4 linked regions of the Rhinolophus ferrumequinum genome follow. The protein of the gene in region 2 interacts with the protein of the main gene of each other region in a biochemical or structural test. Links are inferred from orthologs where the notes say so. Each region holds a gene or a part of one and is shown on either strand. Other genes may lie near its edges.

Region 1 (7,208 bases), on a different chromosome or scaffold from region 2:
CCCAATGTTTATTCTGCTGTGTCATACAGCATTTTTGCCAGAGCTGTGAGAGGGGAGGGTTTAGTCTCGTGCCCTAGCATATCCCCAGGGCCAAACCTGGAGTTGAACCGGAACGAGAGTGTGATTTGTATTTGTAAAATGAATTAAGAAACATCTTCCTTTCTCTCCAACTAGGATCCTTTCCTAGTTGGAGATCCTTTCCTAGGCAGGGTGAAGATGCCTGGCTTCTATTCTCAAGCTTTTGGATGCTTTCAGATGACTTTATGCCCGATTTGTTCTCTGAACTTAACAGTTTAGAACTGCCTCCCAGGTTTGCCACGAAATAGAGATGATGGCTGGGAGGGACTTTGAGCATCTGGACCGGGAAGGCCGGAACACCTGATGGGGGTGCTTTGGGGACCATGGCCACTTCTCTGGATAGCAGATCCCACAGGGGCCCAGGGCTGCCCTACTACTCTCAAAGACCTAGTTAAAGCCTCGGTGTCCTGCACCACAGGACTAACTGCACACAGCTGGGGGGAGGGGGAGGGCAATGTGTTCTGAGAGCCTGAGGGAGGGGGCTGGGGACAGAATTTGGTCTACCAGGGAAGAGGCTCCCACAGAGGTGATCTTGCCTCCAGCATCCTGATTGCTAGCCAGCCAGCTCCTCCTGCCAGACTAGAAAACCCTAATACAGAGAAACTGCCCAATAAATCTACCCTCAGCGAGAGACAGTATAGATGGGAGGCGTCCTGTGAGCCCCTGCTCCAGAGCTAAGTTCCAGCTAACTCCAGGTGCAGGTGTGAGGAACTCAGGCCTCTTGCAGAAAAATGCAGACTGTTCCCCAGAAGGTCACCACTAAGAAGGTGATGAGTGGAGAAAAGCCAACAGGAAATTTAAAGGTGAGGGAGTTTTGAAGAGGAGAAGGACTTCTGCCTGGCTGCTTTGGGGGCACTTCATAAAAGACCAGGCATTTGCTCTGGGCCCTAAAATGGAGACTGAAATTGAACTGTGTGGGGAGAGGGGGTAGTGAGAAGGGGAGAACTGAGCTTGGAGGGGGGAGGGGAGTGTTGCTAAGTATCCCAGGAAGTCAGTAATGAGGAGCAAATGGAAGGAGCAAAGACATGAGGGAAAAATACAGTGTGTTCACAGAATGGAAATGCAGTGAAAAGTTCGTGCATTACTGTTAATACTACATGTCATTTGACTAATGTTTTACAGTTTAGAAAGGAGTTTGATAGTCTATCAAATTTTATCTTCACAATAATTAGGAGAAATGGGCGAGAGTAGTTCTATTTTACAGATGAGAAAATTGAGGCCCAGTGAGGGACAGTAACTTGCTTAAGGCCACACAGCAAGTAGCAAAAGCACAAGAACCTAGACTTTCAGACTCAAATCCTGTGTTCTCTCCCACAGCCCTCTAGTTACTGCCAAGGGTAGGGGAGCTGTGGGAGAGGTTAGAATGAGATCCTTGGGACCAGAATGAGCAGTGATTTGAATGGGGGGCTGAGGAATCTGGGGGAACTCAGAAGGCTCCTGGGTGGTCCTGAATGTTAGGGAGATCTTCATAGTGAGGGAGATCATCCTTGTGCAGAGGCGCATGCAAGTGCACGCCCCAGGGAAGGCTGTGACAATAGGGGAGGCTGTCTGTTTCTGGAATGTGAAAACATGACTTGGTGTGGGGGAAGGAAGACCCGGAGGACCAGGTAAAGCAAAGAGGGAAGGAGGATGGGAAAGCCTTCACCAGAGAGGCAGTTGGAATTAGGACGAGAGAAAGCTGATGGGGACTGTGTGGAAAGGGGAGGCCAGGAGTCCTGTTGTGTGTGTGTGTGAATCCGTAGAGAAGGTTGTAGGGGGGGCCAGCAGTCAGCCAGAGCTTGGGTTTGGTGGTCACCAGCCCAGAGAGGATGGCTGGAATTACAGAGTATGAATGAGTATTGGATTCAGAGAGGGGAAAAGGCCAGCCCTGAATTACTAAGAAAAACCTAAGGAAGGCTCTCTGTGTTCTGCTTAGCATCACAGGGAATGTGATACATGGTAGAACGAGACTCATCAAGAGCAGTTACAATAAAAATTTGAGGTACTGGAACAGGGTTTAGGTTTATTTTATTGATTTGGAGTACCCCCAATCATGATAAACAGATGCTTCTTAGAGGCTTCAAGATAAAATAGAATCCCGAAAGTTAAAAAAATAACGGCAAAGAACACTTCAAAGATGTAAATGACAATTTCATTGGTAAATCTTAATATTGGGGAATTTCTCTTAAGCAAAAAATTATTGATGTGTGCAAAGATGTCGCTACACAGTGTTGTTTGCATTATGAAAAAATGGAAATAACCTAAATGTCCTACAATAGGGGAGTAATTGGGTAAGTTTTTATTTATCCTAATGATAGAATAATATGTACCCATTACAAATGATATTGCAGAAGTACATTTCACGACATGGAAAGATGTACATTACGCATACACATACAGATTAATATCTGTGAATTAATATAAAGTGCTTATTTTAAAGCACCTTTCACACACTTGTTGCCTATACAGGGTCATTGTGGTCAATTTCTCAGACCACATGAAATTCAAACTTCCTCTCCCTAATCTCATTCTGAATTTTCCAGTGGTTATGTCAGGTTCTTAGGGACAGAACAAACACCCATTTGCTGCAGAGAACAGACTTCACGAAGTGGGAGCCACTTGTTTCTGCTCTTCTTGCTGAGAAGGTCTCATCTGTCACTTAAAGCACCCCAACAATTCCCCTTCCAGGCCCTCAGGACCTTCCATTTTGCTTAACACCCAGCTAGGCTCATTCCTTGCAGTTCTTCCCTCCTCTTTGCTTCTGCCAGCTCCTGCACCCACCACCAGAATTGGCTTAACCCATCCATTTCCTCTGTGGGAAGGAGGCAGTGGAATGAGTGGCAGGTGGAATGCTGCCTCAACGTGTCTATAGTCTGCACCATTGCAACTGGGTGCTGTCCTGGAGGGAGAGCTCCGGAGAAGGGCCTGACACAATCAGCTCTGCTGCGAAGAGCAATTTACTCCTGAGTCAGCAGCTTTGGAGAGGTGAGGAAAGGAGTAGTCTGCTGGGCCAGAGTTCTGGATAGAAAATGAACGCCCAGTCCAGCCTCTAGGAGTACAGGTAAGTCAAGGTCTACCTGTAATCACAAGAGTTAACTGGCCCCTGGGACCTGGGCTCCCTAACCCTTTGGCTAGACCCACGGCCTTGGCCAGCCCTAAGAAATCCCCGAGTCCTCAGAGACAACACCAAAGCTGACACTGAGGAGCTCCCATGCAAGGGCCAGGTGAGGCTGTGGAGGTGGCCTTACGGTAGGAGTGCTAGAGGGACCAAGTCGACCCGCCAGCCCCCGCCCCCCAACTCAGCAGTCATGGCTTCTCTGAAACCTTTCTTTTCCCCTTTCCCTAATGCCAGCTGTGGGGCAGTCCCAAGGATGCAGACCGAGAAGGGGGAAGGTGTCTCCCTGCTCACTATAAGACTGGCCCGGGACCTCACAAACCACGCAGCATGGGGCATGGGGCTTTACAGATACCATCTCTCTTCCACCAAACCGGCCAGGTAGGGCTATTATTTTGTAGTTGAGGAAACTAGGAGGTCCGGAGTCCCTTGGCAGGCTATACCAGCAGCTGCCAGACTGGGATTTCCTCTCGCTCAGCATCCCCAGGCAGCATCCCCAAGCAGGACCGGCTTTCCTTTACTTCCTCAGGGCAGGTGAGTGGCCCCTCAAGAAGTGGCCCCTGAAGGTGGGTCACCCCTCAAGAAGGAGGCAGTGTGAGGCAGTGAGGGCTGACACCCTCCCTTCTTGGCATCCCGTTGGCAGCTTGAGGAACCAGCCTGGCTTTCGGGAATTCAATCCCGGTGTCCACTCTGCAGAGGGTGGCAGGTGTCCGGGTGATCCCCTCACCTGCGCTCAGGAGATAGACGTCTTCCCCCTCCAGAGAGGAGGGTGAGAAGATGGCCACAGGAGCTAGCAGGATGGGAGAATGCGGAGCGGGGAGTAACTGCAGGCCAGGGGCTTTCGGCTTTCCAGGACAGCGTTTCTCAGGGGCGAGCTGGGGTGGGGGTGGAGTGGGAGCTAGCGGGGCGGGCCCGCGGTCGCCCCGGGGCGGCGGCGCCGGGCCGGGGGTGGGGGAGGTGGGGAAGAGCTGCCGCCCTGTACTTCCCCTTCGCCGCTAGCTCTACAACAGCCTGATTTCCCCGAAATGATGGGGCGGTGCTGGCCAATAGGCGCCCTCGCGGCTCTCTAGGAGGCGGGGCCACGGCGGGGCTGGGGGAATCCCGCTAAGTGTTTAGATCGCTGGCCGGCGCCGCTGCCCCGGCAGAGCGCGCCACTCCTTCGTCGAGGTAGGACGTGCGCCGGAGCAAAGGCCGAGCAGAGCCCAGCCAAGCCCAGCCAAGGTCAGCCGTGCCCAGCGGCCCCGCGACCCGGGCATCCTCTTCCTTCTCCCCGCTCTCACCCGGAATCGCGCGCGCCGCGCCGGGACCCTCGGGCACAACCGCCGGTTCGCGCCTGCTGCAGAGGTGAGCCCGCCTTCGCCGCGGGGGGTACCAGTGGCGTCGAACAAAGGCCTGCGGGGCTCGAGGAAGTGGGGGCCGAAAACCCCAGGCGAGAGAGTCGTGGGCGCGCGGCGTTGCCTGGGCCCCCGCGCGGGCTCCGGAGGGCGCTGGAGGAGCGGCGAGCTGCAGCGCGGGGAGGGCGGGCCGCGGCGTGGACCGCCCACTGGCGGAGGTTGCCGGCGCCCGGCCGCTTTCTCAGATCTGTGTGCGTGAAGCCACCGGGGGCCTCTGGCTGGCGGGGTATGTCGGTTGCGCGCATCCAAAGCGGTGCGGGGAACTCGGATATAGGTCTTCGCGTGGGCGCCCCGTGCTCCTCGCGGCGGTCCCAGCTCCGCTTCCAGGCCCCGGGTTTCAGGCTGTCTATGCAGGTGGCAGGGACTGGGGCTTGTTGCCCTGAGTGGCTGGAGGAACTGCGGGAGCTGCGGGAGGAGGCGCCACAGGTGTTCCTTCCGAACACCCGAGCCAGGCCGGAAGGGTTAGCGTCCCAGCCTCCGCACTGTGGCTGTCAGGGTGGCGTAGAGTAGATGGGGGGTTGGGGCAGGGTGACTGCTTGCCCATTAGGGAAGGTGCACAGCTCGGGACAACTAAACAGGGAAATTTCTTGGCATTAAGCAAAAGACACCCCTCCTTTCCCAAAGGATTTGAATTTGGGGAGAAAAGTTCTGGTATTAAGCTATCTGTGTATTATGTCTCATTTTCCTGCACATAAATCCTGCAGCCATCACTTCCATGCATGTCTCCTCCCAAGACTGTCTAGGAGGAGATGAGGGAAGGGGCAGAAGTGTTTTTTTGCCCAAGATACTGAAAAGATTTTCAGGGCAGTTTTATTCCAGTGAAAACCTCCTCCCCGCAATTGTAGTACCTGGTACTTGGCGGAGGGCAGAGGAGGGTACCTGAATGACATGGGGTGGGTAGGGTAGTGCCCAGGGTCTGCTCAACAAACTCCAAACAGTAGCCTTCTGTCTTCTCTTCACAGCCAAGATGCCCATCACTCGCATGCGCATGAGACCCTGGCTAGAGATGCAGATTAATTCCAACCAGATCCCAGGGCTGATCTGGATTAATAAAGTGAGTGTAACTCTGGGTTTTCCTGCCACATTTTAACCCATGTTCTTTGGGGGACCAAAGCGTCAGATGCAACTCAAAAAGGGAAGTGGTAGGGAGGAGGCAGATGTGTTTCCCAGTGGGTCCTGCATGCAGGGAGTGTGCCAGGCCCAGCCCTGGGCCCCACTTGCCCATGGTTTGCCTTCCTCCCTTCACGAAGCATGGGCAGGGCACCCAGCTGAGGTCACTGACAGTTTCCAGCAGCTAGACTCTCCCAGCATCTGCAGAGCTGGAGTTCTGGTGTCTCCTGAGACAGAGCCCTACAAACACGTATGGCATCTTACAGGGCTCCAGTCAAGACAGATACGAGGCAGAGAAGTGGGCACTGTTGGCAGGAAGGTGGCTGGCTCAGCAGGGGACCCAAGAATTAACCTTGTACCAGGGGCCCAGGCCCAAGAACTTTCTTGCTGGTGCATGAAGGGCAACACAGGCCCTGCTCACTAGTAATAACAGTATTCATAATAATAGTGACTGCTTACTGTACACTCCCCACAAGTGAGTGTGGCACCATGCTAAGTATGTTACTTACATTGTGTCATTTAATCCTCAAAATAGCCCTGTGAGGGAGAGCCTATTAATATCTCCATTTTCAGATAAGGAAACTGAGGCACTGAGAGGTAGACAGTGGCTTTGATTCCAAGATTTAAACTGAGCAGTCTGACTCAGAAATCCATACTGTTAACTATCAGTAATGAGAACAGTGAGGCTTTAGTCTTTATATTTATCAGTGTGTTTTCTTGTTTCACAGAAAACGGTGAGGGACAAAGAGGTGCAGTGACAGTGCCAGGGTCACACAGGTAGTCAGCATCCGAGTCTCCTTCAGGTGTATGGCCAGGACCTCCTGTGTCCTGAGCAGCCTCCTCTAATGGACAGAGTTCTCATTTCCATGTTGGTGCTGACAAGCCAGAGAAGCACCCCAGGGTGCATTGTATGGGTTCCAGCACATTTGTGACAGGCAGAGGGGGGTCTTTGCTGAGCTGATGGTGCCACAGCTTATTTGAACCCCTTCTGAGCCGTCCAGAGCTATACAGTAGCCTATTTAAGCCAATCTCAGGATGGGTCAACCCAAGCCAGCTGTCAGGGTGAAAAGAGGAAGTAAGCCTTTTCCCAGACCTGGGGGGCTGGGCAGATTTAGGCCAAAAGCCTGTGGTCTCTGAGCTGACACTGCCTTGTGTGCATGTATTTGTGCTGTTCAGGAGGAGATGATCTTCCAGATTCCATGGAAGCATGCCGCCAAGCATGGCTGGGACATCAACAAGGATGCCTGCCTGTTCCGGAGCTGGGCCATCCACACAGGTGTGTGATCAGCCCAGGAGGAGCCAGGGAGGGACGTGGGGAGCCAGGGAGGGGCCATGGGGAGGCACTTCTGGTAACACGGAGATTTGTCCCTGGCGTCTCTGAGCAACTTGAGATGGTGTACAGAACTCAAGGGTGGGCAGGGGCAGACCTGTATTTCTGGGGAGAGGAGCCATCCTTTCAGCAAGTTCTCAAAAGAATTTGTGAAGTGGAAACCTTAGAAAGTGTGGCTTCAGGGAGTTTGGCTAGATGGAAG
Region 2 (7,443 bases):
GCGCGCGCGTGTTCTGGCCGCGCGTGGCGGCGGCAGCGGCGGGGCGGGCAGCTCCGTGACGCGGCGCCGGGCGGAGCGGGCGGAGCGCACGGGCCGGGGCGGAGCGGAGTCCTCCGCAGAGCAGCCCCTCCCGGCCACGGCCGCCGACCCCGGCCCCCAGCCCGGCCTGGCTCTATGGACAGGAGCTCGCTGCTGCAGCTTATCCAGGAACAGGTGCGTGGGGACGGGGGTGCCGGCACCGCCCCCGTCGCGGCCCTCCACCGTTGGGCTGAGCTCGCAGAGTCCCAGCCCAGCCCCCACTCCCCCAGGCCCCTTCCTGCACGACCTTGGCCCCCTGCCTGACACCCCAGGAAAGGGCCAGCCAGACCAGCACGCCTGGGGAGGGGGAAGGGAGGGGAATTGTCCTCAGATCTTGGCTCTACCCTTCCAGGATGAGCGGGGCGAAAATGAGGTGGGGAGACCCCTGGAGGCCTGGCAAGCAGGCACCAGTGCTCTGGCAGCTCCTGGGACCATGTGGGCACAGGGGCCTGGCCCAAGGGTGTTGGGAGACTGCCTCTCCCAGCTGGCCTGGCCCAGCCCTTTGGTCTGTGGGCTGGGCCCACCCTCAGGCCTTGGCGGGCGGCCCCACCCCACCCCAGCAGCTGGACCCTGAGAACACAGGCTTCATCGGTGCGGACACCTTCACCGGCCTGGTGCATAGCCATGAGCTGCCCCTGGACCCAGCCAAGCTGGACATGCTGGTGGCCCTGGCCCAGAGCAACGACCGGGGCCAGGTCTGCTACCAGGAGCTGGTGGACCTGGTCAGTGCCACTGTGGGTGGGCAGCAGGGGCGGGGGCCCAGGCCCGGGCCGGTACAGTGCCCTGGCTGGAGTTGGGTGGGCAGGTGGCCCTTCTTCTCTGCCCTTCCCACTGGGGCAGGGCCTTACACCCTGTGAGGAGCCGGGTGGACCAGGTGGGCATGGAGGCCATGGGGGGGCACCATGTCCCATGCTTGGGCCCCACCCCCCCAGATCAGCAGCAAGCGCTCAAGCAGCTTCAAGCGGGCCATCGCCAACGGGCAGCGGGCACTGCCCCGGGATGGGCTGCTGGACGAGCCGGGCCTGGGTGTCTACAAGCGGTTCGTGCGCTACGTGGCCTACGAGATCTTGCCCCGGGAGGTGGATCGCCACTGGTATTTCTACCGGCACCGCAGCTGCCCACCCCCTGTGTTCATGGCCTCTGTCACCCTTGCCCAGGTGAGCCTGCCCACCTGGCACCTGTCTCCCTGGCCTGGCCTGGCCCTAATGCCCATTTCTCCCAGATCATCGTGTTCCTGTGCTACGGGGCACGCCTCAACAAGTGGGTGCTGCAGACCTACCACCCCGAGTACATGAAGAGCCCCCTCGTGTACCACCCCGGCCACCGAGCTCGGGCCTGGCGCTTCCTCACCTACATGTTCATGCACGTTGGGTGAGTGGGGGCCCACTGCCAGCACCCCTGGCTGAATCAGGGGGGTTCAGCCCTCTGCGGCCGGAGCTGGGGGCCTGATGGTTGATCCCACCCCCATACCTGTTTGCCCCCACACGGCCAGGCTGGAGCAGCTGGGGTTCAACGCTCTCCTGCAGCTGATGATCGGGGTGCCCCTGGAGATGGTGCACGGCCTGCTGCGCATCAGTCTGCTCTACCTGGCTGGCGTGCTGGCAGGTGAGGCAGGTGGTGCCCCACGGCCACCTCACTGTGGGCCTCACCCTCACGGTGTCCCCTTGCTCCACACAGGCTCCCTGACCGTCTCCATTACTGACATGCGGGCCCCCGTGGTGGGGGGCTCCGGCGGGGTCTACGCCCTGTGCTCTGCACACCTGGCCAACGTCGTCATGGTAACGGGACAGCCAGGGTGGGGTGGGGGAGGGGTCCCCCGGGCTTCGCTCACAGCCTGTCTCACGCTCCATCAGAACTGGGCTGGGATGAGGTGTCCCTACAAGCTGCTAAGGATGGTGCTGGCTCTGGTGTGCAGTAAGTAGGGGACCTGGGGGAGGGTTGGGAGGGGGGCGCTGAGCCCCCGGCAAGGGCCCCTCCCACCTGCCACTTCCCTCTGCAGTGAGCTCCGAGGTGGGCCGGGCTGTGTGGCTGCGCTTCTCCCCGCCACTGCCTGCCTCCGGCCCACAGCCCAGCTTCATGGCACACCTGGCTGGTGCGGTGGTGGGGGTCAGCATGGGCCTGACCATCCTGCGCAGCTACGAGGAGCGCCTGCGGGACCAGTGCGGTTGGTGGGTGGTGCTGCTTGCCTACGGCACCTTCCTGCTCTTTGCCATCTTCTGGAACATCTTCGCTTATGACCTGCTGGGCGCCCACATTCCCCCGCCACCCTGACAAGCTCCCAGGGGCCACATGGGCCAGGGGGTGGCCTGCATGTCCGCCCTCTGTGAATGTACGTCTCGAGGCTGCTTCTCCCCTGTGAGGACAGGTGGCCCCTGTGGCCCACTGAGTCCAGGCGAAGCCTTACACCAGCCCTGGCCCCCCTCCCAGGCCTGGGGCGGGTAGGACTGCTGGGCCAGGCTGAGCGGTAGAGGTCCCAAGGGTGGCCCCAGAGGAGACCTTGCCCCGGCCTTCCCCCAGGACTTGCAGTCTGAGCCTTTTTGGAGAATGAATAAATATTTTACACAGCACCAGGTGGCTGTACAGGGCTCCGGAGGCTGGCCTGGCCTCCCCCCTTACTCGAGCAAACTGTGAGGGCTCTTTCCTCCGTGTGGATGGCCTGGATTCTCCCTTGCTCCTCTGCACCTAGTGTAAGATGTGTTTGTATGGGAGGTGGGTACCGCTGGCGGGGGCAGACGGTGGACCTCACGGTCAGGAGTGAGTTCAGCAAGGATTTATTGAGCTGCTACAATCACACGGCAGGTGAGCAGGCCCTGGGCCACAGCCAAGTTCAGTCGGCCTGAGTCCTGTGCTTCTTGGCTGGCCTGGTAGCCTCAGGGGTGCCCTGGCTGGGGCTGAGGTCAGGCAGCAGGTCTGGGCACAGCTTCTGCCCCACAGTCCAGGTCCACAGTGCGGTCTCCACATGGTGAGGGGTCCACAACCCTGAGTTACTACCTAGGGAGGCACAGAGGTTCAGGGCTCAGGGCACGGGCCACCCTGCCCTTCGTAACAGCTCTGCACACTCCCCCCTGACTGGAGTCCTGGATACCCTGCTGGCCCACCAACAGTCCCCTCACCTCTGCTCAGGGCTCTGGCACGCTCCTGCACCCGGCCCAGGTACAGCAGGTAATGCTTGAGCGTGTACTGCAGAGCTGGCAGGCCGGGCACTGCAGCCACTGCCTCATCGGACATGAAGGCTGCCACCTCAGGAGCTCCAACAGCCAGGACCGCTGGGGGCAGTGAAGGGCCAGCACTCAGACCCCACCAGGCTCAGAATAACCACAGTGTGGACTGTCATTCCCAGGGACCCTCTGCATCATGGGCCTGGGCATCGGCCCGTATCTCAAAGACACTAGCAGGCCAGGTCCCGCCCGCGACCCTGCAGGTGTGACCAGCTCTGCCAACTAACCCGAGGCCGTGGCGGGGCCCACGCCCCGGAGGGCGCACAGTTCTGTGATTGCTGCCCGCATGTCTGGAAGGAGGCGGAAGGCAGCAGCCGAACACTGCACCACCTGCTCCGGGGGGTTGGTGGCCACCAGCTGCTGCAGGCGAGGACGGAAGCGGCCCCTCTGTGGCCGAGTCGGATTGGGTGGGGTGGTCACTGGTGGAGGGCCTCTCCAGGGGGACCCCGCCCCACAGCATGAGGACACGCCTCCTGAAAGGAGCTCCGCCCCACGCCGCGAGGGGCCACCCCCAGGTGAAGCCCCGCCCCTAGGAGGCGGGCCCGCCCGCCGCTGTTCCGCCCCCCACGTGGAAGCCCCTCACCGCCAGCTTCCACGCCAGCAGCCGCTCTAGCTCTTCTCGTGTCACGTGCTTCTCCGCGCGGCCCTCAATGGCCATGGGCAAATCCTCTCGGTACCTGGGAAAAGGCGGTGACGGGGAGTCCGGGCAACGGGGGTCGCCCGCCCTACCGATGCCCCCATCGCCCTACCATCGATCCAGGGCTTCCAGTTGCCCCCGGGGGCCCGCGCGCGCCCGCAGCACCTCCCCGTGGCGCGCCAGGATGGCGGCCCAGCGGCTCGGGTCCTCACAGCCCCACAGCCCGCAGGCGACCGCCATGTTCAAGGGCCGGGTCTCGGAGGGGGCGGGACCGGCCGCGGGGACGGGGCCTCTGATGGGCGTGGCGGGCCGCGCGGCGTGAGTCGGACCGACTTCTGGAAGGACCAGCCCCGAGTGCGAGGGGCGGAGCCACCTGGGCAGCTCTCGGCTCTTCTCCAGACTTCCGACGTCGTGGGTCGCGTCTCCCCGAGCGCACACTTCCGCTGGCCCCCCCCACAGAGCGTCGGGCGCACGCGAAGTCCCTCCCACTCGCGCGTGTCCGGCCGCCCCGCTCGCTCCGCCCCGCCCCGCGCGGCCGGAAGTTCCGGTGGCGGATCGCTGGACCGGGCCCGAGCGGATCGCGGTCTCGGGCTGCGGGCTCGGGCTGCGGGCACAGGGCGGGCCGGGCGCGGAGCCTGGGAGCGGAGCCCAGGCCGTGCCGCGCGGCGCCATGAAAGGCAAGGAGGAGAAGGAGGGTGGCGCGCGACTGGGCGCCGCCAGTGGAAGCCCCGAGAAGAGCCCTAGCGCGCAGGAGCTCAAGGAGCAAGGCAACCGGCTCTTCGTGGGCCGCAAGTATCCGGAGGCGGCGGCCTGCTATGGCCGCGCGATCGTGAGTGTGCCCGCGTCGGGGGTGGGGCCGGCGCCCCGGCCAGGGGAGGGGGCGGGGCCTGCCGGGCCTGCCTGGCCGCCGCCGCCAGACCTACCGAGTGTCTGGGCCCGGACGGGGGTGGCGTTTGGGGTCTGAGGACTCAATGGTGATCTCGTTCCAAAGGGGCCGAAGCCGCGGCTCTCGAGCCCCCCGCCGGAGAACTATGGCGGGTGAAAGCTTCAGGGTGCTTGAGGCCCTCAGAGCCCGGGAGGCCAGGGATTTCCACAGGTCTGGGAAAGTTACCCTTACAGAACCTACTGGAGTCAAGAGGGTGGGCTCGGGCAGGCCTCAGGACCAGACGCCACCTTCCAGCCATCCTCAGGATCCAGGAGCTTTGAAGCTGAGAAACCTAGATACTAGCAGCTTTCCAGCCGTGAACCCCACGCCAGGACAGGCCTTAGGACTGCGGGGGCAGGCTGAGGTCACGCCCTCATGCTGACTGGCCGGTCCTGGTCCCCAGACCCGGAATCCCCTGGTGGCGGTGTATTACACAAACCGGGCACTGTGCTACCTGAAGATGCAGCAGCATGAGCAGGCCCTGGCCGACTGCCGGCGTGCCTTGGAGCTGGACGGGCAGTCTGTGAAGGCACACTTTTTCCTGGGGCAATGCCAGCTGGAGATGGAGAGCTATGACGAGGCCATCGCCAACCTGCAGCGAGGTGGGCCTCCGGGCTGGCAGGGTGTGGGGGTGCCCGGGGCCAGGCGGGTGGACTGGCCAGCGGATGAGCTGAACTCTATTCCCTCAGCCTACAATCTGGCGAAGGAGCAGCGGCTCAACTTCGGAGATGACATTCCCAGCGCTCTGCGCATCGCCAAGAAGAAGCGCTGGAACAGCATCGAGGAGCGACGCATCCACCAGGAAAACGAGCTGCACTCCTACCTCACGCGCCTCATTGTGGCTGAGCGGGAGAGGTGGGCTGTGCTGGCAGGCTCCAGGACCCCCCACAAGTCACCATTCTTGAGTCACGAACACAAGTATTTATTGAGGGCCAGCACTGGTGAACAGGAGACAGACGGGGGGATGAGGCCTGAACAAGCCCAAGGTTGGGGTGGAAGGTGACCTTCCCTAGCCAGACCTCTCTGACCCGCTCCCGGTCAACCCTCAGGGAGTTGGAAGAGTGTCAGCGGAACCATGAGGGTGATGAGGACGACGGCCACGTCCGGGCCCAGCAGGCCTGCATCGAGGCCAAGCACGTGAGGGTGCCCCGGCCCCCACGTGGGTCTGTGTGTGTTTGTGTGCATGTGACGGGGGGTGGCCCTGGCTCCCGTGGGGTCTGAGTGTGCCCTCACGTGGGTCTGTGTGTGTTTGTGCGCATGTGACGGGGGGGTGGCCCTGGCTCCCGTGGGGTCTGAGTGTGCCTGTCTGGGGAAAGCAGATGTGGTGTCTGGCCCACGCGTGGCTGCTTGGCTCTTTGCAGGACAAGTACTTAGCAGACATGGATGAGCTCTTTTCTCAAGTGGATGAGAAGAGAAAGGTGAGTGGTGTGTTCTCTGGGGCCTGTGGGCGGCAGGAATTGGAGCAGCGTCCGCTTCCTGGTCCCTAACTTGCTCCTGTGTGAGGCAGAAGCGGGATATCCCTGACTATCTGTGTGGCAAGATCAGCTTTGAGCTGATGCGGGAGCCGTGCATCACGCCCAGTGGCATCACCTATGACCGAAAGGACATCGAGGAGCATTTGCAGGTGAGGGACTCACAGGCGCTGGGGGCAGGGCCTGGGCCCACTGAGCACCGTCTGACCCTGTTGTCACTGCAGCGCGTGGGCCACTTTGACCCTGTGACCCGGAGCCCCCTGACCCAGGAACAACTCATTCCCAACTTGGCCATGAAAGAAGTCATCGACGCGTTCATCTCCGAGAATGGCTGGGTGGAGGACTACTGAGGCAGGGCCACTGGCCCCACCTTACCTGACACCCTGGCCCAGGAGGGCCTTGGGGCGATAGCCCCCAACCCCTGTACATAGTTTGTGCCCCTGGATCCCTGCTCTGGTGTCCCCACCCCATCCTCCATCAGGTCTGCTGGTTGGCCATGAGCCTCCCCGTCCCCCTTCTGGGCCAGAAACAGCAGGCTAGGGTGGCTTGGGCTGAGGTTGCTGCTGCCACCACTGTCCCTGTAATAAAACCTGTGAGCAGTCATAGGGCTGTGTGCCGGTGTGCGATGGGACTTGCCAGCTGCCTGCTCTGGCTAGCTGAGGAAGGTGGAGATGAAGACACTGGTGTCGAGGTTGAGTGTGGCGTGCCACCATCGGTCAGGGAAATATAGCACCTGGATGGGGTAGGGCACAGGGATGAATTGGGGGCCCTCAGCCCAACCCCGCCCCCTCCTACCAGTGACTGACCTCACCAGCCTGGATAGTACATTCCAGGGGCCGTGCCGATGGCGTCAGGGTTGGGTACGTGTCCCGGAGCCAGGACAGTGTGGTCTTGTTGGGATGGAACTTGGGTGTCTTCTCAGGGGGATACAGGAACCAGCGCTGGGGGTGGAAGCAGCAAGGTCACTCTTTGTGCTGTGGTCAGTGAGCCCCAAGTCTCAGCCACCACCTTGTGCTGACCTTGCGGCCGTAGATCACCTCTGAGAACCCAGGCCCGTGCCAGTGGAAGGGCACCCCGGAGCCAGCTCCTGTGGGGGCAGTTATGAGTAGCTGA
Region 3 (6,994 bases), on a different chromosome or scaffold from region 2:
TGCGTCTGGAAGAACTCACAGGATTAATGTGTTTCCAAATTGCAAACTAGGTGAAAACTGAGAATCCGATGCCCCTGGAGGAAAAAAGCCTTCTGTTTATATACATGTGGCCACCAGCTTGGTACATGGAGCGCACGGGAGTCTCTACATTGTGTGTCAAACCTCAAACCATAAACTTCACCCAAACCCAGCACTCGAGAGGAGATGTCCCAGAGATAATCCAAGAAAGCTCTATCTTAGAGGATATGAACCATGCCTCGCGTGGGTTTCTGCCGTCTAGAAACTTCCAGGGCTTACAAAATCATGCCAAGGCAACGAGACAGAAAAATTAGACTTTTCAGAAAGCTGTAAGGAAAAAAGAAATCTCCAAGAATGTAGAAAACTAGCATATTAAGTCTTTACCAAATTCCTACATAGGCAAGGCTTCCCCCTCAGAGCCAGGCTTGTCAAGCTTTGGTGTGTGTAGGACTCACCTGGGGATCTTGTGAAAATGCAGGCTCTGATTCAGTAGGTCTGGGAAGAGCCCACGCCCTGATTCCTAACAAGTCCCTGGGGGGTGTCCCTGGGGCTGACCCACAGGCCCCACTTCGTGGAATGAAGCACTTTCAACTCTTATGTGTGAAACAATGACCATGAAACAGCGCTTCATGTCATTAGACAGCTTTCATTTGATGAGTTGCTTTTTTTATTTTTTATTTTTTGAAATCCTGTTTCCTCACAGAGCCACACATCTTCAGCTAGAGAAGGTTAAGGGAAAAAAAGCTGAAACTCTTGTCTGACTATAAAATAAAGTTTTGTGGTGACTTACATTTGAATGGTACTTGTACCTGAAGGACCAAGAGACGTGTGCGTCAGACGCATGTGTCCCACTGTGGACACCACCATGAGGGCTCCAGGAAGAACGGTCTGTAACTGTGGGGCCTGAAGAGCTCTCTCGTTATTATAAATCACTGGATTTGCCAAGATCAGATTATTTTCATTCCAGGAAGCCCTGACATCCATGTCTCAGTTTAAAAATCGTCACTGAGGTCATTTTCAGCATGACACAGAAGTTTCTGGATAGTACCTCTGCTGGAACACTAAGATTTAAAAAATACGGAGAATGTGTGCTACAGAGAGAGAATTTAGCGGCATTACCCTCCTTGGAGGTTAGACTACATCCGATATTTGGGGGGCCCCGCTTTGGGGTCCATTTTCTGGCCAGAGAACCTGCTTTACAATAAGCGTGTTCAGAGAGAGCATACAGTGATCATGTAATGAAGATACCTAACAGGCAATGTTTTCATTGGACTGGACTGCACTCAGAAGTCTACACATTAATTACAGGCTTATGCAACGATGCGTCTTTCCACCTTTGCTGGTATTTATAGAGCCATTAAAAATGACACCTGAGCATATTCTCCTCCCCCCAGTAGTGACATGTAGAAGCTGTAGCCAATCTGAGTGAGGCTGGAAACTGCCATCCAGTTCCTTGGCAAAGCCACAGTCGGCTGTAGCCACTTGGGTACAATTCCCAAGGCAGCAGCCCAGGGTCTGAGTCATTTGCAGGAAGTAGGACAGAGGGTGTGGGTCACTGCACAAACGTAAAGAATCCTAAACAGCTCCAGCTCAGAGAGGACTGAGTATTCCTCTAGGCGGCTCACCGATGACATACGGGTATTTCTGTCTTGGGCTCCTAAGGAAGTGGTAAGGCCAAGTTCATCAGCCACCGGCTCAGTCTTTGCTAATTGTCATGACTTGGAAGATGCCCAGAAAGGCTCCAACTGTCGCCTCACCGAGCTGTGAAGTTCTGCTGTGGCTGTTGTGTCAGATAACCCAGAGGAAGGCAGCACCCGGCGGAGGTGCATGCCTTCAGATTCTGCCCCCTGGTGCCTCCTCAAAACCCCAGCCCTGACGATTGATTACAAATGATTACAGCCAACCCCAGCTTTACTCACAGTTGTCTTTAAACTTGGCCTGTCCTACAAAGACTCCACTGGGAAAAATGCGCATTCCGCTCTAGCTAGGCCCTCAGAGAAAAGCCAAGAATTCCAACAGCAAGCTGACACATCCAAACGTACCCCTCAAGCATCTGAACACCTAAAGCTGAAAGCATCTGGGAGTTTCTACAGTGAAACATTGAAAGGATTTATCTGCTTCGCCACTTGAAGTTCTAAGTCATCACTGAGTCTGAGCCGACTGTGAAATGGCAGCTGCGCGTTACAGCCTTCAGCTCTCAGGAGCCTCCCGGGGAATAGTAAGTGTAGTAAACAAGGGACTTGCTGTGGGGCTGAACCCAGACTTGGCTTTCTTGGGGAGCACAGGAACGTAACATGAAGTATCTTAACAAAGAATTTGCACTGCGAGTCATACGCAACATACATGACATCTGGATATTAATAAACTTCATAACACAAATATGCACATTATCATTCTTGTAAATATTAATAAGGTGTCAGCATTGAGCAAGCTAACTTTACACCAGTCTGGGAGAAAGCAGACACTTGAGTTTCAATTCCTGCTTTAGTCAAAACAGGAGTAAGTAAAACTCATGTCTATTCCTTTTAAAGGAACAGGGCCATTTGCCCTTGAACATGGTATCACTGTAAGTGTCGGCGAAATGGAGTGGATGAGGAAAACATCGGGGGTCACTCTGACAGAGCAGACTTTCCAAAGTGCCTTGGCTGGTTCCTGTAGGCCAGCTTGGGATCCAGGGTTGGCATTTAGAATTCATCATCTCAGTTTCTCTTGAGTGTGTGCGTTGAAACTTCCAGTGTCCAGAATGCCATGGAGGATGCATGTGGATCGCAGCAAAACAAAGTGATTAATTGGGAAAGGAGAGTCTTACTTTATCTGGGAACTTTACCAAGAACAATATTTTACTCGTTAGCAGGTAAACCAACTAGCAGGAAAAAGAAAGAAATATGTGTGCCCAAAATGGCTTGCCCACAAACAAACTTCTATTTTTCAGCACCTCCAAACAGGCATGTCTTCTCCCGAAGGCAGATGAGCTGTGGAATGATTTTGAGTCAACCCCCGAGAAGGGGCTTGCTCTGGAGAAGCGTCTCCTCCGCTTCCTCTATGTATCATGCATTTGTCTCCCTAATGCATTCAGTGTGGTTATGATAGCACCCGGCTGAGTTTTACCTACAGGTGGGGATTATTGATTCAAACAGAGCTACAGAAAGGCAGGCAGTGAACTTTCGCAGGTGAAAACAAAATAAACTGTTGCAAAGTAGCCACTGCTTTTACCCAAAATATAAAACCTCTGTTTTCTTTCTTTTCCTTTAGCTTCCTAATTTGAGAGTGTGTATCTGTGTGTGTACTATGATGGTATCTCTTTGCTGAAAAGATGTCCATTTGGGAGGAATAAAACCACGTAATTTTGGTTTTATTAAAATGATCTTTTCATCACAAAATTAATATGCTTTCCTTTTTTCAGGCTTTAAAATACCGGTAAGTTGCTAGATCCTTTTAGGGGTCAGACTCTCACCAAAACATTTCCTTTTCTTTTTGTTTCTTTTTTCCCCCCCTCCCTTTTATAGTTTCACTTATGCCGTAATAGTCTTTGCCAAGGGCTGAATTCTCCTGAGCATTGGACGCCCAGCATCTTACATGATGGGATCCACTTCCTGTCTTAACAGCAGCCCGGTGCCAGGGTAGAATTACTATTGAATAAGCGGCAATGAAATCTTAATCAAAATAATCAGTAGTTCCAAAAACCACAAATAACAACAACAGGACCCGAGTTCTACTAAATCAGCAAAGACCATTGATATAATAAGAGACTGAGTCACTTTTTTCTACAGTGGCTTTCTTGCAAAGTCTACTCGGCTATTTTCTTGCACAGCCTGGGGGAGGCAGGTGGAGGAAAGGAAGGGCATTGCTCAGAAAGTAAGAAAAAAAAAATTGACATCATTGAAGTCACGTGATGGGCAAGAACCAATTAAGAAGAGCTGTGGAAAGGGGAACAGTTAAATTTGTAATTTGGGTTGTGTGAAAACTTCTTTGGGCCTCATAAACAACCACAGAACCACAAGTTGGGTAGGCTGGCAGTGTCAGAAGTCTAAGCCCGGCATAGTGGTCAGCAGGCAGGAGGAATCACACTGGCTGCAAACCACAGGGTTTCGCAGAGCGGTGAACATCATCAACCCACAGCCAAGACACCGCTTTTTTTTTTTTTTAATCTTTAACAATTTGAATATTTGTTTTCGCAAAGGTACATTTTTCATAGGGCTCAGGGAGCCCCAGAGGTATCGAGGAGGGGGAAAAAAGAGATGTGGGGAGCCATGGCTGGGGGTGAAGTTAAAACAGTGACCTTTCTTGGTTTTCGCTCCTAAGGTAAAAGAAATCATTGAATCCCCCGCCTTCAGAAGAGGGTGCATTTTCAGGAGGAAGCGATGGCTTCAGACAGCATATTTGAGTCATTTCCTTCATACCCACAGTGCTTCATGAGAGGTGAGTACATGCTGGTCTTTTAATATCGACTTTTGCTCAGCTTTTGCAGATAATGAAATGGCAGCCTGTTGTAACTCGTGCAGATAGACTGGCTGATTCCCTGTCTGTTTGGTGGGAGGAATTCAAACTCAGGCATATGATTACAAGGCTATTGGATTACTTATCCATCAGATGGCAGCTCTTCAGAAATGTTTTAATAAATACTTAGTTAAGCTGTTGAAGTGTTCAGTCGGTGTGTGAAAACTTTGTCAAGTGCGAGTAAGTTGGGCTGTTCCTGATTAAAGTCCTGGAGATTATAAAGCTTGCACGAAGCTCTCTGGATTTTCTTTTGCTGTCCCTTGCTCGGAATGACAGCGGCTGTGTTACCCTGAACTCAGCACGCTGTGTGGCCCACACTCCAGCCTGCCCCGGGCTTTGGCACATGCACTGCCGGCCAGGAGGGCTGTGCCAGCCTGGGGCGGAGGCTGAAGTAGGCACGCAGATAGGCATTAGACCAGCCGCGAGACTTCAGGGACAAAGGGGCCACTTGGTTGTCCCCAAGAGGCAGAGAGTGCAGGAGCCGGGCAGGTTTGTTGAGGTTGGAAGTTCCGGGATGAGGTTGTGCTGTGTTGTTCCTTGTAGTCTCAATGCAAAGAGGCAACCGGCATCTTTCAAGAGAGAAAGAAAGCAAGTTGTCTCTTCCAGGGGTCTGTCTCACAAAGAGTAAATAAAGACGTTTTCTAAGTCAAACGTTGCTGCAGCTTAAGTTATCAGATTGCAGGACTCCTAACAGGAACAGCTAATGTGGAAAACCTGTCTGCGTTTTTGCAGCCAGCCTCCTGAAATGTGCAAAGCTGTAGAGGTGAGGAGTGTGTGTGTGTGTGTGTGTGTGTGTGTGTGTGTGTGTGTGCATGCTCGTTCTGTGTATCTTTGGTGGGAAAGGAGGGCCGTGCTTAAACCAACAAAAACAATAAAAATGTCACAAAGGCATTGCAAAGTGTCAGGGCACGCACTTTAACCAATGCCTGCGAAGTGTGGCTTGATGGTTTGGCAGAGCTGAGATGGAGTGGGATGGGTTGGGGGATAATTAATTTTCTGGCTACAACTCTCGAGCGCACCCAAATAGTATCTGTGACTCGTTATTTATTCATACAGCCAAGTGAGCAGGAGCATGCAGAGGGCTGCCAGGCACTTTGTCACAACAAACGCTGTTGTGAATGCCACAGAGTTTCTAGGTTGCTGGGTGCCTGAAATTTAAACACTTGACGTGTGTGTGCGCACGCGTGTATGTGTGTGTGTATGTGTGTGTGTGTTGGCGGTGGTGGGGAGAGGATTTCAGAAGAAGGGGGAAGAAAGCAAGTCATTAACCGATTCAAAGCTTCAAATTAAAGGGTTTTCAAGTGCTGCTTTACTGGCAGCTGAGGACATTTTAGTGAAGTTGAATCATGCGCTATGTATGAGTCACACATCCTCGCAGCCTGGGCTCCAGTGGCCACTGGTGAGAAGCTGCGAACTGCTCCCTCGCTGCATTTCCTCTGGGTCTCTAACAAGCAAAGGAAGCAATATTTGTAGAATAACAGAAAAAAGATCTTCCTGCCTTAACTCGCTTTCAACACCTCCCCCCACCAAATGATGATTGTTTCCTATTTTATCAACTCAGGAAGGCAGATTCAGGAAATTTTAAAAGATTTCACTGGGCAATAGATTGGATTTCTGTGTGTGGTGCTGGCATGCCTTCGGTCCTTACCGGTCGGACAACAAAGATAAGAAGGGGACCCGGCGACCGGCATAGACAGCAGGCAAGAGAAGGAGCCTGGCCCCTAACACAGCCCCACAGCTCCTGGGTCCCCTGGACCGTCACCCACCCACCCCAGGGTGGGAACTAGGAGCAGTTAGTTTTCAAGAGGGCTGTCGGGAGAAGACCCTAGACCCCAGCCAAGACTCAGAAGGGCTCCTGGCAGAAGGTCTTTTCATTTCTTCCTCTCAGTAAAAGGAACTCGAGGCCTTTCATCATCTGTATCTCAATAATAGAATAATGAGATTTAATTTCAGAGAATCAAAGTGAAATCTTGGCAATTTCCCAGTTAAGTTTATCAAGGTGATCCATCAACATCACGGTTTCAGTTGTCTGGATTAGCACCACTCCCGGGAGCTGGAGGGGTGGCCAAATGCCATTGCTTTGGGTACTACTTGAGGTATTGCCTTAGGGACGATGGTAGGACAATCACCATGGTCCCCAACACACTGTTCTCGCTCCGATTCCTCAGCCCTGTTTCCGTAGCCTGGTCAGCAGCCGCACTCTGCACCGTAGTCCTTTCTTGCTGTCTATAGTTGACAGCATCTGTTCCCTTCCCAGCTGCAAGCTGGAGAGGAAAACATCTTGTGTTCTTCCTGGGATGGTACTTTGTTCGTCCGTGCAGTTCTCACAGAAGGACACCCACTTTGGGCAAGATGTCCATGTGGAAAATGGGGCAGAAGGAGAGGTGTGGGAGCAAGCAAACCATTGCTCCCTTCTCCGTGCGAGGCGAGTGAGAGTCTGAAAGGCTGGCATGCAAAATGAATGTGGTCTACCACAGAA
Region 4 (7,669 bases), on a different chromosome or scaffold from region 2:
TCAATTCACACCAGTAGTACACTACTTTTGCATTGTTACAAATCAGAACTTCTGAGTTTTTACCTAATATCTTCTAGGCAAGCGGGTCAAGTTCAGCCTTAGCAAAGTTTTCAATTAATGCAATCTCCCCCAAAATTTCCAATTATTTTTTCAATATTATTTTTAACTTAGAAACTGTTACATTTTGTATGTTGTAAAGCTATTTCTTCAGTAACTTTTATCATCATTTTAAAACAAAAACTCAGGCAAAAGTAGCTATGCACATTTATTTATGTGCACCTACATAATCCAAAGGAATAAAACCTCTTCAGATATAAAAAGTTTTAAAACAAACAAACAAACAAAAAACCTCCCCCATAATTTTTAGGACATACACACGTGTCACCTTTAAGCAAAATGTTTACTGACATTTGCTAAGAAATAATTTTTACTGAGACTACTCTATTAATACTTCTGCAATTACATAATTTCAACTAAATATTGTCCATTGCTACAGTTCACACCACCAAATTTGAGGCCTTAACAAAGTGCTCCAGTCACCTCAGATCAATAACTTAATTCTGTTTTTCATGCCTTGTACACTGACCTACCAATAATTCAATTACTGTGATACTTCCCATTGTACAAAAAGGAGAGCTCCCCATCCTTGATTAAAACCAGTTTATTATATCTGAAACTACAACGATTAATGCCTTTCAATAACCACTACCTTTTGAAGTACAAAGGCCTAACTTTTAGACAACCAAAACTGTACAGTTAAAATTTCTGGGGTTTCTATCTTATTCAACAAGCTGACTCAGTAAATTTAACACTATGGAAAAAAGCTAACACACCTACAATCTGAAGCTGGAGTAATCCACTCTTGCCAGCATTTCTGGTCATTAGCGGGTAAATCATAGTTGACATTCTACACAACTCGGAGTAGACTTAAGGGAAACCCAAAGGTGTCAGAGGACCTGAAGTCTACAAAAGGTGAGTAGCAGTTCTGGCATCACAATACTTAAATTTCAAGTGAGAACTGAAATTTAATCTCTGCAATCACCATTTGCCACAGTCTCTTGAACCTACACATTATCATTGGGATCAAAAAACACTCAATCTCCATTCTATTACGTGTGACGAGCACTGAATATAAAATACTACTTGAACTGCAAATTTCATGCCCTATGCTACATCACCCCATCAAGAGAGAAAAAGGCAAATTTAACAACGATGTAATAAAAGCGCCTTATGAGGGATGACACTATTGATGTGAAACGACACAACTCCTAAATACAGGTCAAAGTTGTAATTAACTTAGTTTAAACATACAAACCCTACTTTTGTCCTCCAATGAGCACCATATATGCTAAAAATGAGTCTGCTTCTAAAATTATGCAAATCAGCTCCCAAGTCACATTTTAAGAGTCTATCAATGCAACCCAGAAAACTAAGAACAATCACTGCAAGATTCTGATGCAATATGCGTACGTGCAACACTAATTTTCATTTTAATCTGATCTATACCCTTGATCTAGGGCCTAAAGCCAAAATTTAATCGAGATAGGCTCAACCTCAAAGCGTCTATTTTTCTGCTCATTTAGTAGACCGGATTACCGAGCTCACTAATCCACTAACAGCGTACTGTATTCTGTATTAACGGACAATAGCCCTTAGGAAGAGACCCCATACATAGACTAAGAAACCAATCGGTGCTTTTGACACTTGCAACCAGGCAAGAGCTCCGTCTAGCAGAACACACCCTCCGTTCAATGCATTCAAAAGAGGCACAAAATGTCCATAAGCTAGAAATTCGACCAGGGTTAAATGTTATAGTCACCCAGACTATGGAAAATTTTTCGCATCTGTCTACTCCCACGTTCTAAGAGAGAGTGACAGAAAGGCAGAGGAGCGGCCGCAGAAATGGATACACGTCAAGTCTAAGTCGAATCCATCCTCTTGATATCTCCTTTTGTTTCTGCTAACGATCTCTTTGATGATGGCTGTCATGTCTGGGAGCCTGTGGCTGAAGAAAAAGGAGGAGAGAGATGGCAGAAGCTGCTGGTGGCGGGGCTTCTTCTGCAGGATGGAAATGGCTTTGGACTTGGCGGTAGCTGATGCCCCTCGCTCTGCTGCCGCTTGGCTCTGGACCGCAGCCGGGTAATGGCTGCTGCGGCGGCTGCTAGATGGTTGCAGCGACTGGGCCTGCTTCTCCTCAGCAGCCAGAGGCCTGGCAGCGGCGGCAGCGGAATGGGGAGAAGATGAATAATCCTCGGAACGGCTGCCTCCTCCAGCGGCCTCCGGAGCCCGGGCCAGGGGGGGTGCGGCGGCGGCGGAGGGGAGGTTTAAAACCGGCCCGGGTCCCTGGATGTGCCGCCGCCGCCGCCGCCGTGTTGGAGGCAGTAGAAGGGGAGAGACCAACTCTCCGGCTTTCCCAGCCCTGGAAATGGTGACAGGCGACTCCGACTCCCTCCCCGGAGCTGTAGTCGCCGCGGCCGCCGCCGCCGCTTCTCCCCCCCGCTCCAGGAGCGGGAGGTGCCGCCGCCGCGCTTCAGCCGGCTCCCGCCCGAGCCCACGGCTTCCACCTTCCCTTTCAGAAGCCGAGGAAGAAGCTGCTGCACGGTTAGAAAAGAAGACGAAGACAAGGCAAGGAACGCCGCCGCTGCCGCCGCCGCCGGCCGGCCGGCTCCGCGAGGGCGCTGCCCCCGCGGCTGCTCACGAGCGCTGAGAGGGGCTCTGGGCCGCGGCCGCCGCCGTCTCTCATCTCCCTCGCCTGAGCCCGGCCTCGCCTCACAGCGGCTCAACTCTCAAACTTCCATCATGGCTGCAGCTTCCGAGAGGAGAGAACTGAGCGCAACCGCGTCCCGGCGTCCGAACGTGTATCCTGCCGCAGTGCACAAAGAGTTCCGCCACATCACCGTCCGCCGGCCTGCCCGCCCCCTCCGCCGACGCGCGGGGAGCCTGAGCGCCTCGGGAGTCCGTGGGGGAGGCGGGAGGCAGGCGCGATCGCGCCGGGGGAGGGAAGGACGGCGTAGGGCAGAGGGAGCAGGGAGGGGGCAGGAGCGGCAGCTCCGTGTACGAGCTCCGAGCCCCCAACCTGCAGGCGCCACTGAGCATGCCCAGTGTGACTACCCAGGGCTCGCTCGGGCATGTTCCGAGGCGCCCGCCAGTAGCAGCACTTGCCTTGGCTGCTGCTTCAACGCAGGACGGGGAAACTAGCTAATCCTTGATTTGTGCCCAGAAACCCAGCCAGAGGCAGGGTAGGCTGTTGTGGGGGGAGGGGTGGGCTGAAGGTGAAAGCTGAAGCGGGTGCATTGAGCGGTGTCACTGACTCGAGTCTGAGGTTACCTGTGCACAAGTGCAAAGGAGCGGGTGACAGCGCTGGTCAGTGTACAGGGAAACGCAGGAACGGTCCCTGCAGCGATGACACCCCCTCCGCTTGCCTCCGCCCCCAGATTTCCCCGACACGGCCTGCAGGCAGCCTCACTCTCCTTTTACACCGGTGTTGGATCACTGTCGTTCGCAGGGATTTGACTGCAGCAGCCTTTCCCAGAAAACCCATCTCCATTCCCCTCCTCCCCCGCCCCCGTGTTCTCAAGGTGTCAGTCTCAGCACAAAGAACAACCCCCTATTGTGTCTCCAGTGTGTATCACCTCATCCGGCTCTCTTTCACCGCCCCACCTCCCGCTTCCACGGCAAGTCGGCTCGTTTGCCCTAAAAGTGAGAGCTCCCGTCCAAGCACGTTGAGTGTGAGCGCATCGCCCCTGAATTTCCAGTTCCCAAAAGACAACTGTCCAAGCGGACTGAAAGCGGATCCCCAGGTGGGCTCCACCATGCATCGCCCCCTGGAGGGCTGAGCACTTCCCGCCCCCCCCTCGGGGTTCCAGTTCGGTTCACCGCGTCGAACTCAAGCTCGATCCTCCGAGGCTACCTCGCCCCGCCCCTTTTGGGCAGCTGTGAAAACCCGGACGGGATCGCCCCAGGGCCAGGTTCCGTGCTCCCCAAGCCGGGTTGTGCACGCTGCAGGCCGGGGTTGCTGGCTCAAGTGTGAAGTACCGGACGGTAGGAAGCTGCAACCCCTGCGAGTAGGCGGGGCCAAAGAGACAGAGGAGGGTTCGAAAGGAGGTGGAGGGATACACGGCCACAGTCGGAACTACTTTCAGGAGGAGGTCACGTGTGTTCCTAGTTGGGGAACTTTCCAAATTCCCACTCCCCTATGATAGCTGGACGAGGCGAGTGGTTCGCTTATTTCGCCCGGGGTGCTCCCGCTTTGTTCGGACAAGGGACCCCAGAGCCTGCAGGGTCGCGGCGGAAAAACTGATTCAGGCGAGCCACCCACCGGAGCGCTGTCGGGGCTGACGCCTGGGAGCTGGTTACACAAGCACCCACATCCAAGCACGTGCCCCCGCCTCCCGCACCAGTGGCTGCCGCCGCTGATTCTTGCAGACCACAGAGCGAGAGTTCCCAAGTTGGTCCCACTCTCCGCTTGCTACCCACAGAACAAATTAAATGGCCGAGACCTGAGACGCCTAGCTCTGAGTCGACTAAAACTGCGCGTTCCCAACCGTGGGAGAAGGGGCTGGGCCACCGGGAGTCTGGTGCCTCTCCCTTGCTAGTGCCCGATGCTCCTTAGGGCGAACCTTTTCCTTAGTGCCTTGCTCGCGGGGCAAAAGGGTATCTCCTGCTGCAGCCCGCTGCTTGGATTCAACGATGTTGCAACAAACTTCCAGTCACTACCCTTGAGCTGATGAGCTGGTGAGCGCGCCCCACCTACTGTAAACTCAGCCAAGTGACTTATCTAGTCGGAGAACCTAGTCAATGGCCGTCAGCCCAGAATAAACTTGTCAAATCTGGTTACAGCTTCGATTTAGTTGCCCTATCCCGGTGAGAGAGCTGGTTCAGAAATGCTGAGAACTGGAGCGTATTTATCCCGACATTGATCAGCTGCAAAGCGAGTTGATGCCCATTTTCTCTAAGCACCTCCTGCTTAGAGAAAATGGTCATCAATCTAGGAATTTCTTCCTTTTCTTTCCCCTGGGAAGTAGAACTCAAGGAGACAATCGGAGTCCAAAAGTATCTGAGCTGAGATCTAGGCTGAGGCACTGGTTCTTTCTTTTCTTAGATCTGGAAGAATGGGGATCAATTTGCATGTGTATTGCAGTAATTGAGAATAGGTGCCTGGGAAGGTCTGAAGAGGATTTTATTCAATTTATGAGACAGAAGATTGTATGAGCACATCATAGTTGCATGCAGCCCCTGAAGACTAGAAACCCCAAGAGACCTAGCTTAGAAGCCACAGGCCATTACCTAATTCCAAAACTACTAATTAAACCAGGGATATTTAAAGTGTTCTTAGAGATCTCTGAGTCTCCATAAAACTTGGCATTTATATACAACATCCTTTCACGATAACTCTGCAAGAGTTAGCAACCTGCTGAACCTTCAATGTTGATATTTATTGGAAGCTGATTTTGTGTATGGTCCTGGTCAGCTTGGGGGAAGTAAGGGCCACAGTGGAAAATTAAATGGAGAGCAATTTGGAAAGAGTAGGAGAAAGGCCTACTCCTACTTTGGTTTACAAAGATGAAAATCCTGTCCACACAGCCTAGTGTGAGCTAGAGATTTCTTTATTTTACAAATAACCAAGGACAAGGACTCCCTGATTTCTAGGTGCATGGTAAGAACCTGAGCTGTGCTCAATTGAATATCAACTACTACTTGGTGGGAAAAGGCAAAGTGAAGATGAAGTCAAATGAAGGGAAATAATAGATTGAGGAGGGATAAAATGTCCTATGTTTGTTTCTGGGTGGCTGAGCTTGTCCCCAGAGTCCCTGTTATAAGAATGCCCTTCTTTGCCCCTCTCCTGGAGTCTACCTGAGGTGAGGATTACTCTTCCATCATCTGAGAAGTTCTGAAATCCACTTCCTGGGAAGAAACTGGGTTCACTTATACCCTGTTGATGTTAAGCATGAGGAGGGATCCTTTCCAATTCCCATGGCACAGAGTTATTTTGGAGCAAAGAGGATGTGCATCACCAGCACTAAAGTGCTGGAATATGAGACTGGCCCACAAACACCTCCATCGGCTGAAGAAAGAAAACGGGAGATAGTTTTGCTGCTTCTCGAAACATCATGTCCCTCTATTTTTCTCTAGTGATGAATGAGGGGATCAGCAATGTTGGCAGATATTTGGCCAGCCTGACAGCAATACCAGGTGATTATTAGGAGCTGCTGAAAAAAAATCTCCTCCCTTTCCCAGGGTCAAGTAGGTTCCTGAAGGAAATACTAAAGCATCCTTTTTCATTTTTCGTTTTTCTTCACTTTTTCCTTCTACGCAAGAAATCTCCTTACCCAAGTGGTAGAGCTTAAACCTCTAAGTAGCAGAACCCATCTAATATACCGAAAGATTTGTGGGTTTTTTTTTTAATAATTTTTTCAAGTTCAAAGGCAAATATCTGCTTGGCTGTGCATATAACACAATACATGTTGGTTTCCAAGCACTTCAGTTCTTTACCTGTCTGGATTCAGAACGCCGTAGGGAGAAACAAAAGCTTGTAACAAAGGGAGAATTATATAAAGCTTCTGGGAGGTTAACTATATAGAATAGTGAACATGACAAACCAGCTTTAATTATCAGTTTCTAACAACTGATTCCCAAACTGCATTGTTATTATACTCAAAGAATGTCCAAAGAAAATACATTTGTTACTTTTTTTGATAAGTGAAATCACCAGCAACCTGATGTGAGTGATATAAATAGCTGATGTGGTCTTTGTAGGTTCTGCTGCTAACATGTCTTTTGCTGAACACTCTGCACACTACAGTGCCTTTCTCATCTCCCACACATTGACCTTTCAAATAGAGATCTAAGTCAATGGTTTTCATCTTTAAGCCATCGTCTCTATTTTTAATCTGTATAAGCACTGTTTTCTTAATAATGCAGAATAGAAAAATGTAACAATTATAGGTTTGACTTTAAACCACCCCATTCTTCAAATTGTCCAAAGGCTTTCCCCTTATTTCATTTATCCTACTTTATCCTAATTACAATAAATATTGCTGTTCTTTTGAATAAAGATATTTTGTCCAAGACATTTCCCCAGAAGGCACTGCTATGGATCATATAAGTAACTATAATCGCAAAGTTTCCATTATTATCTATGAGCTCTTCCTAAATCTCCATTATTATCTATGAGTGTCCTAAATCTCTCCTGGAGCTATTTCAGATGGCACCTATGTCTCCTTTCACATCTCAGCAGAGAGGTGTGCTGTATGAACTTATAACTCAGAAATAAAAGTTGGGCTGGGTGCTTCTGGGAGAACCACAGAGCAGACCAGGCACTTATTGTGTCCAAGTGACATTTAGAAATTGTGACTCGGCCTAGAAGGTGATAGAAAAGAAGACCTAATATGAGAAGACAGCTTTGCCTTTTTTAGTCTCCAACCTAATTGACTATTGGATATTCTACTTTGGTCCCCTTAATACTAACTCTAAATCTAGCCCTATAGAACACGTATTTGGCTTTTTAGCTCTTCCACTAATAGAAAAATACAATAATTTTATATATTAGGCATTGGGGCACTTACCAGGTGCTTTGCAGAGTAAGCCTCATTTGTCTATGTACAGGAAGAACACTAAAAAAGAGTTAAGATTGACCATTGCTTCACTCCTATAAATTTTTCTCTTTACA

Evidence for each region.
Region 1: of the proteins of STUB1 (region 2) and IRF1, one has a biochemical effect on the other in vitro, tested with the Homo sapiens proteins (4 studies listed by BioGRID, with this or other methods). The link is inferred for Rhinolophus ferrumequinum from reciprocal best matches to the Homo sapiens genes STUB1 and IRF1.
Region 3: the proteins of STUB1 (region 2) and RUNX1 form a complex in vitro, tested with the Homo sapiens proteins (3 studies listed by BioGRID, with this or other methods). The link is inferred for Rhinolophus ferrumequinum from reciprocal best matches to the Homo sapiens genes STUB1 and RUNX1.
Region 4: the proteins of STUB1 (region 2) and PTEN form a complex in vitro, tested with the Homo sapiens proteins (2 studies listed by BioGRID, with this or other methods). The link is inferred for Rhinolophus ferrumequinum from reciprocal best matches to the Homo sapiens genes STUB1 and PTEN.

What each region holds. Positions count from the first base shown.
Region 1 is NC_046307.1:8,819,772-8,826,979, reverse strand, and holds the start of IRF1 (interferon regulatory factor 1), read left to right. Parts: upstream 1-4,190; 5' UTR 4,191-4,516; intron 4,517-4,598; exon of another isoform or gene 4,599-4,792; intron 4,793-5,528; 5' UTR 5,529-5,533; coding exon 5,534-5,620; intron 5,621-6,852; coding exon 6,853-6,952; intron 6,953-7,208. UniProt on the Homo sapiens protein: Transcriptional regulator which displays a remarkable functional diversity in the regulation of cellular responses.
Region 2 is NW_022680357.1:2,621,800-2,629,242, forward strand, and holds STUB1 (E3 ubiquitin-protein ligase CHIP), read left to right. Parts: upstream 1-4,603; coding exon 4,604-4,762; intron 4,763-5,261; coding exon 5,262-5,460; intron 5,461-5,547; coding exon 5,548-5,776; intron 5,777-5,907; coding exon 5,908-5,995; exon of another isoform or gene 5,996-6,053; intron 6,054-6,128; exon of another isoform or gene 6,129-6,219; coding exon 6,220-6,276; exon of another isoform or gene 6,277-6,365; coding exon 6,366-6,482; intron 6,483-6,554; coding exon 6,555-6,680; 3' UTR 6,681-6,933; downstream 6,934-7,443. Other genes in the region: RHBDL1 (rhomboid-related protein 1), read left to right, coding at 432-800, 1,011-1,235, 1,301-1,449, 1,571-1,683, 1,756-1,856, 1,932-1,992, 2,078-2,349; uncharacterized protein LOC117019799, read right to left, coding at 2,906-3,069, 3,192-3,344, 3,524-3,683, 3,880-3,973, 4,046-4,605; JMJD8 (jmjC domain-containing protein 8), read right to left, coding at 6,983-7,063, 7,137-7,271, 7,350-7,417. UniProt on the Homo sapiens protein: E3 ubiquitin-protein ligase which targets misfolded chaperone substrates towards proteasomal degradation.
Region 3 is NC_046285.1:100,669,074-100,676,067, reverse strand, and holds the start of RUNX1 (runt-related transcription factor 1), read left to right. Parts: upstream 1-3,988; 5' UTR 3,989-4,198; intron 4,199-4,320; 5' UTR 4,321-4,379; coding exon 4,380-4,437; intron 4,438-6,994.
Region 4 is NC_046299.1:33,168,379-33,176,047, forward strand, and holds the start of PTEN (phosphatidylinositol 3,4,5-trisphosphate 3-phosphatase and dual-specificity protein phosphatase PTEN), read right to left. Parts: upstream 3,006-7,669; 5' UTR 1,990-3,005; coding exon 1,911-1,989; intron 1-1,910. UniProt on the Homo sapiens protein: Dual-specificity protein phosphatase, dephosphorylating tyrosine-, serine- and threonine-phosphorylated proteins.